Sus scrofa: one gene and its partner. The protein of the gene in region 1 interacts with the protein of each later gene in a pairwise test. Links are inferred from orthologs where the notes say so. Each region holds a gene or a part of one and is shown on either strand. Other genes may lie near its edges.

The links.
Region 2: the proteins of PLD1 (region 1) and PEA15 interact in a two-hybrid assay, tested with the Homo sapiens proteins (2 studies listed by BioGRID). The link is inferred for Sus scrofa from reciprocal best matches to the Homo sapiens genes PLD1 and PEA15.

What each region holds. Positions count from the first base shown.
Region 1 is NC_010455.5:110,285,820-110,289,319, reverse strand, and holds part of PLD1 (phospholipase D1), read left to right. Parts: intron 1-128; coding exon 129-274; intron 275-744; coding exon 745-850; intron 851-1,604; coding exon 1,605-1,670; intron 1,671-3,500. UniProt on the Homo sapiens protein: Function as phospholipase selective for phosphatidylcholine. Implicated as a critical step in numerous cellular pathways, including signal transduction, membrane trafficking, and the regulation of mitosis.
Region 2 is NC_010446.5:90,273,343-90,277,286, forward strand, and holds the start of PEA15 (astrocytic phosphoprotein PEA-15), read right to left. Parts: upstream 2,801-3,944; 5' UTR 2,203-2,800; intron 995-2,202; 5' UTR 664-994; intron 1-663. Other genes in the region: CASQ1 (calsequestrin-1 precursor), read right to left, coding at 3,892-3,944. UniProt on the Homo sapiens protein: Blocks Ras-mediated inhibition of integrin activation and modulates the ERK MAP kinase cascade. Inhibits RPS6KA3 activities by retaining it in the cytoplasm. Inhibits both TNFRSF6- and TNFRSF1A-mediated CASP8 activity and apoptosis.

The sequences.
Region 1 (3,500 bases):
CAAGTACTTACACAAAATAAATGCACTGGGTTGTAAGGTACTTCCATGTTACTTATTAATTATTGTTCATTGATTTTGGAATTTTTATCGTTATCTCAAATACAAACCATTTTTATTTATCACTGTAGGTACCAAGCATCAATCTTTACACCATTGAATTAACACATGGGGAATTTAAATGGCAAGTTAAGAGGAAGTTCAAGCACTTCCAAGAATTTCACAGAGAGTTGCTCAAGTACAAAGCCTTTATCCGAATCCCCATTCCTACCAGAAGGTAACTGTTTCAGGACTAATTATAAAGTTATCCTGGTATGCGAGTTGGGTGGAAAGAATATTTTGTTCATCTATTGGCTAACTAGTCCATTGTTGATGGATATTGTTTATTAGATAGGCTGTTCTAAAAATAAGCCATCTTGGAGTTCCTATGGTGGCACAGTGGTAACGAACCTGACTAGTATCCATGAGGACACGGGTTCGATCCCTGGCCTTGCTCAGTGGGTTAAAGATCCAGTGTTGCTGTGAGCTGTGGTGTGGGTTGCAGACACGGCTCAGAACTCACGGGGCTGTGGCTGTGGTATAGGCCAGCGGCTACAGCTCTGATTCGACCCCTAGCCTGGGAACTTCTATATGCTGCAAGTGCAGCCCTAAAAAGAAAAAAAAAAAAAGCCATCTCATCAAAGATGTTATGAGAGTCATAGTTTGAAGGATAAGCTAATAAATGTTTGCACTGTGTGTGTGTTTTAGACACACATTTAGAAGACAGAATGTCAAAGAAGAGCCTCGAGAGATGCCCAGTTTGCCCCGTTCATCTGAAAACATGATCCGAGAAGAGCAGTTCTTTGGTAGAAGGGTGAGTCCTTTCACTCTTCTGCTGCTTTGAACGTACCTTCACAGCACACTATAAACATGGCATCTGCTGAGGGGTGGGGTGTGTCTGGATGCACCTTATCTCTCTCGCTTATCCATCACCCAGGCAGGTTTAGCTTCTTCAGAACTAGTTAGGCAATCCTTCTTCCCCAAGCTGCGCTGACCCTGGGGAGGTTGCCTTTCCCCAGAAGAGGTAGAGTTCTATGTCAGGAGTGACTTTGGGAGGAAGCTGCCCTCCCTGCAGAACCCCCTGGAGTTCATTGTGAGTCAAGATTGAGTTCATCCTTGAGGGCCTTGAGATCTATCCTTTTAAAATAATCTACTTCCATACATTTGTTTCAGAATTTGTGGAGGCTTGTCCTAAATGTATGGTCTCATGTCCAGGCTATATTGGGGCAGTTAGGGTCTGAGTGGAGTAGGACAGAGTACAGACACATACGACAGGAAGATAGAGACCTCACGAGCAGGACACTCTGCTTCGGTCTTCAGGGGGTAGAAGGTTAATTTATTTTATTTTTTACCAGAAAATTAACAAGTAAATGTCGGTTCTGTTTTGTAATCTGAAACTTCCATGTTCTGAAAGGGGTGTATTCAGGGTTCCTCGTCCAGTAATAGCATTAACAAATAATTGAAATAGTTTACAGAAGTTAAAATGGAACAAAGATCACATCATTGTTACTGTTTATGTTTTTCTTTAAGTATGATGACATCTCTAATCTTAAATATTCACATTACAGAAACAACTGGAGGATTACTTAACAAAGTTACTAAAAATGCCTATGTATAGAAACTATCATGCAACAGTAAGTACTATTCAGTTATTTAAATTTTGATGTAATTTATAAAATTGTAAAGTGTTGCCTAAATTTTAGATCATTTTATTACCTACAAATACTTGTATCCACTTCTGCATTATTCCTCAGGTTAAACTAAATGAAATGAATACAAAATTGATTTGACAGCAAGAATCTGGTTTATGGGGATACTATTTTAAAAATACCAAATATAACTTATTATGTCTGTAACAATACATGTAAATGAATTTGAAATGCTACTACAGGCTAGATTATCTGGAATTGAATCTCCTTCTTTCCTCAGGCTTCCAGAATAATGCCAAAAAGCATTTGTATTGCTGAATAAAAAACATTGAGTAATAGGTGATGAAAACAGTAGATTGCAATGGAAAAAAATATAAAAAACAATGTATATATGTATATGACTGAGTCACTTTGCTGTACAGCAGAAATTGGCACAACACTGTAAATCAACTATACTTTAATTAAAAATTTAAAATAAAAACAGTTGAGCAGAGCTGAATACCCAGAGATTATCAGGGGCATACTTAAGATTGCCATCTGATTGGCCCATGATGGCTATAAAAGGGCTGTCTTTTCAAGTGAAATTGAGAAGCATGGGAAAAGCTCAGGAGAGAAAACGCTCTTGAGAGTTCAGAGAAAAGAGAGGAGAGGTGGTAGGGCTTAGAAGTATCTGTAGAGGCTAAGTTTGGGAGACAGATAGCTGGCAAGCAGGAGGCAGTGGGCTTTGCAGAAGAAATCAATGAGCTCTGCCCTCTTAGAGGCCCTCGAAATAGGGAAGGGGGTGTTTTTAAAGGGTCAGCCTTCAATTATCTAAAGTTTCAGATAACTGAGAGTGCACTGGGTTATTATATTTTGTGCCTGTGTTTGTTTGTATAAACTGCACTGCTGTGGAGGTTGAACATGGGTATATGGTATGTGTGCAGAACCTCAGAACAGGTGCAGTTAGGATTCAGCCTCTAGTTTAGGGAATGGCATTAGGTAAACACATGAACAGAAAGAGGGAAGCCCTCTGGTTATTTAGGAGAGGAAGCAAGAGTGCCTTGACTCCTGGGAGTTTCTGGGGGGTTTCACTTCCCTATTGCTGCCTGCCAATGTGTTATTTGGAGGCTGGGTGTGGACCAGCTATTCCCCTTTACACACAAATGACCCTGGGGCTCAGCCACAGTACACCTTCTGCAGCCACTTACACTGTGACTTAAACAAGCTTCTGTGGTTTCATAATCCTAGAGAAGAGTTTTCCCAGTAAGACCAGCAATTTGAGTCCAGAGAATCTCAAGAGAAGGCTAATGGAAGGATTTCTTCCTTTCTAGGACTCAGGAATGTGCGTCTTTGAAAGACCACAACAAATAAAGCTATTGCTTCTAGTATTATGAAATCAGACATGGCTGTTTTCTTCAATAGAGAATTATTTAAATCTGTAGTAGTACCAGTATGCAATAATTTTCCATTCGTTTGACTTTTCTGCCTGCCTATGACTTGACTTTAATATTTCCTTTGGCTCTTGAATAGTACTTGCTGAGTCTTTCTATGTACTTTACTATGTTTTGGGGTCTAATGTTGATTTTAAAACTTTTACAGTTTTTCAAAATGTTCACTTTAATTTCTTTTCCAATCAACCTTTTAAAAAGATTTTAAAAGATTTCCAAAATCTTTTAAAAGTTCAGCCATATTGTATTTAGACATTCCAAAGTGTCTTCTAGACATTTCTGCTGGAAGGGGAAGCCTGGTTACAACTGACTATGTTATTTCTCATTTTTAATGGCTACTTATTCTCCCCAACAGCAGAATTCTCCAGAATGCTTCAAGAAAAGGATA
Region 2 (3,944 bases), on another chromosome or scaffold:
GTTTGTGATTTGCTGTGTGCAGTCGATGTGTGTAAGAGTCACATGGGTGTGTGTCACCGTGTGTGCTGGCGTGTCTCTCGTAGGTGTGTGTGTCCCTGTCATTTTTGACACGGATTATATTAATTAGGGGTTTGACGTTAGCTACTTAACTCCCCAGCTCCCAACTCCTTCCCTCTGGACAAGCCTTGAACAATCCCACCTCCTCCCCAGGTGCAGAGGGCTGGGTGAGGGCACGTGGTGCCAGCCGCCAGGTTTGAGCCCTCGGAGCAGGGGCGGCTGCCGCGGAACTGAGGCTGGGCCGGGCCAGGAGACCGCCAACCGCGGCGAGCCCGGAGCCAGAGAAGGGGAGGGAGGGGTGGGAGCTGGCCCGGCCGAGCCGGCTGGGCGGGAAGCAGGCTCCATCCTAATCCCCAGGCCCCGGTCCGACTCCCCAACTGCGGTTCAGCGTGGAATGGGCGGCCGGAGCCACGCCGCCTCCAGCAGACACTCCGCGCTCGGGGCGCACCGACAGAGACCGAGCCCGTGGGGCCCGACACAGAGCGCACCCGTCCGGGGCCCCCACGCTCGGCATCTGCCCCCGGGGGCGTCCCGGATCGCCGCCCCTCCAAGCCCAGACCCCAAATCTGTCCCTCCCCGAGACACGTCTCCTCTCGGCCCTCTCACCGCCTCTGGGGCTGAGCGCTCGGGGAGCGGGCACTCCGGCGTCCCCGGTTCCTGAGCAGCGTCCGGAGCCTCCTCCTCGGCTCCCGCCGCCACCGCCGCCGCCGACGCCGCCGCTTCTGCTGTCGCCGCCGCCTCTTCCGCCCGCGGAGCCCGAGCCCAGCGCCGCCTCACCCCACCCGGCTGGCCAGTGATGTCAGAGCCGGGGAGGGGCGGGGGGCGGGGAGCGGCGGGAGTGGGGGGAGGGGAGGCAGCAGGGGGCTGGGGTTCTGGAAGACTCCCGGGCTGGGGGCAGAAGTGGGGGAGGGCTGGAGGAGCGCCGCCGCCTCTCACCCTAAAGAGCGAAACCCAGTTCTCAGATGTAATTCTTCCCAGTGGAACACACCCTTCCCCTTACGACCTTTCAATGACCACAATGGCTGGGACCCTGGGAGGCGAAGAGTAAGTTAGAGTTTAAGGGCTGGGAAGGCCTTTGGCCTCAGGATCCTCTTAGCTGCCTGGCTTAGTATGTGGAAAAACCTTTTTCTTCCCCTTCTGGGTCAGGGGAGCCATAATGACCGCTCAGTTTTATCTACCTTGGAAGGTGGGGGCTGGAGGAAGCGTTGGGGGCAAGAAGCAACACAGGGACCTCCTCACTTGCCCTGGAGCCACAGACCTCTCTCCAGGGTGATGCCAGCCGGCCTCTTGTGGTCCTCTTACCTTTCCCAAATATACCACCCCTCTGCCTTCCCCCCACCATGATGTAATTTTATTTTTCTGGGGAGAAAAAGAGCAGCAGTGAGCTCAGCATGCAAATATAGACAACTTGCAATGCCACGCTTAGCTCTGTTTCCCAACTCTGCCCCTCTGCCCAGGCCCAGCATGGCAGCTCTCACTTCCCCTCCACCCCAGGGACTTTCCTCCCCCAGATTCTCAGCCAGACTGAAAGAGGGAAGGAAGAAGTGGTAAAGCATCTGTTTTCATTTCCAGCCTAAGGGGTCTCTCCTCAACTCTGGCAGAGTGTGGCGGGGGAAGAGGTCTGAGCCCCGTCAGTGTCTGTGCCACTTCCAGCTACAGCCTGGCAGAGACCCAGAGGAAGCCTCAGGTGAGTTCCTCCTTTTTTTTTTTTTTTTTTTTTTTTTTTTTTGCTTTTTAGGGCTGCACCTGCTGCATATGGAGGTTCCCAGGCTAGGGGTTTCATCGGAGCTATAGCTGCCAGCCTATTGCAGGGCCACAGCAACGCCAGATCCGAGCCTCGTCTGTGACCTACACCACAGCTCACAGCAATGCTGGATCCTTAACCCACTGAGCGAGGCCAGGGATTGAACCTGCAACCACATGGTTCCTAGTCGGATTCATTTCCACTTCACCATGACGGGAACTCTGAGTTCCTCCTTTCTTTCCTTTCACCATCCTCTCCCCCAAAGTGCCCTGTCACTGACCTTTGGATAGTGACACACCCTCACAATGTGCCTCTGCCTAGACCTCATTTGTTCTGTGTTGTAGGGGTGAAACCGATATTGCTGACCCATCTTTGAGACTCAGAGAAACTAAATGACTTACCTACAGTCAGTGAAGGGTCCAGGTCTTCCAGAGGCAGCCAGGTAGAAGGGACTTGGGCTTCACGCTGGCTCTACTCCTTTCTGGGGCAGGTTATGCCTCTGAGCCTCAGTGTCCTGGCTGGGGACACTGATACCTATCTCACAGGGTTCTTCTTAGATGTAGAAATTGTAAGTCTCTAGTGACTGGCGCAGATGGGTGTTTTTTAAAACATGGGCACTACCATTTAGTGGGACCTTCCACGGATCGGTGCAAAAATAAGTTCCATCATATTTTTGTATTGGTTCAGTGCCCATACTGTGTATTAAACATTTGTTAAATGGGTACAAGCTGGATGAAGACATGGGTTTTGTTTGTTTGTTTGTTTTGGTTTTTGTCTTTTTTGTCTTTATAGGGCCGCACTAGCGGCATATGGAGGTTCCCAGGCTAGGGGTCCAATCGGAGTTACAGCTGCTGGTCACCACCACAGCCACAGCAACGCAGGATCCTTAACCCACTGAGCAAGGCCAGGGATCAAACCCGTGTCCTCGTGGACACTAGTCAGGTTCGTTAACCACTGAGCCATGACGGGAACTCCTAGGGACTCGTTTTTTTGTGTGCCAGGCCCTGTGGACACAGAGAAAAGGCCTGGAGTCCTGCCTTCAAGGAGCTCCCAGTCTGGATGGGGGAGACAGTCGTGGAATTGAAGAGCTCGGCTGGAGTGGGCTGAGCACTAGAACAGAGGTGGTTAGTGCAGGGGGAGCCCAGAGGAAGGAGATGCCGGAGGGGCCACCTCTGAGAAGGCCTCCCCAAGGAAGTGTTCTTTGGGCTCAGTCTTGGCTTTCAAACAAGAGCTGAAGGGAGGGCGCTATCAAGCAGCACATAATCACTTAATTACCTATTGCTTTGTATTTCTCTTCAGTTGTTTCGGGTGCTTGTCTTGACTTCCCAGTGAGGCTAATCAGCTCCAGAGCAGGGACAGGCCCGGGCACTCTTTGTTCTCCCAGAGCCTAACAGCGGTGCTGGACAAACACCATGTGTTCAGAAAAGGCTTGTTGACTTGCAGCGGATAAATAATCCAGGCTTCTCTGGGATAACTGCCTGGAAGGAGGAGGCCCCCACCCCCCACCCCGTGATCACAGTCCCTTAACAAGGCACCCACACGTACATCCCCCATCCTCTGGCTGCCTCCCTCCTGCCGCAGGGTGAGACCCCATCAGCAGACACTTGCTCATGGTGCCCCAGATCCTTTATTAAGGTCTCTCGTTTGACCCAAATACATTAACAAGAGATTGCTGAGCTGCAGCCCCAAACACAGTACCCTCCCATCCTCCTGGCCAGGGAGAGGACAGTCAGAAAGATAGAGGATTTGAGAGAGTGGGGTAAGCATGTGCTCAGGTGGAGGGAGCGAGCGGAAGAGAGATGAGGGCCCTTAGATGCGGCAAGAGGGAATCGCAAGAAAGCGCATGTGGGGGGCGGTGGAAGAAACAAAAAATGGATACAGGGATATCGTGGGACAGGAAACACAAGTCAGAGAGCTGGGCCAGTGTGTAGGGAAAGGTAGCTCCTTGGATCTCAGCACCCAACATAGAGACTTCAAGGGCCCCAAGCCAGAGGATGACCTGGTGTCCCTGGAGGCGCTCAAGGAAGGACAGGGAGGGCAGGAGGGAGCATGAGGAGGGCAGGTGGGGCTGGGCGATGGCTGCCCAGCACCTAGTCGTCGTCGTCATCATCGTCATCGTCATCTTCGTCATCATCCTCTGTGT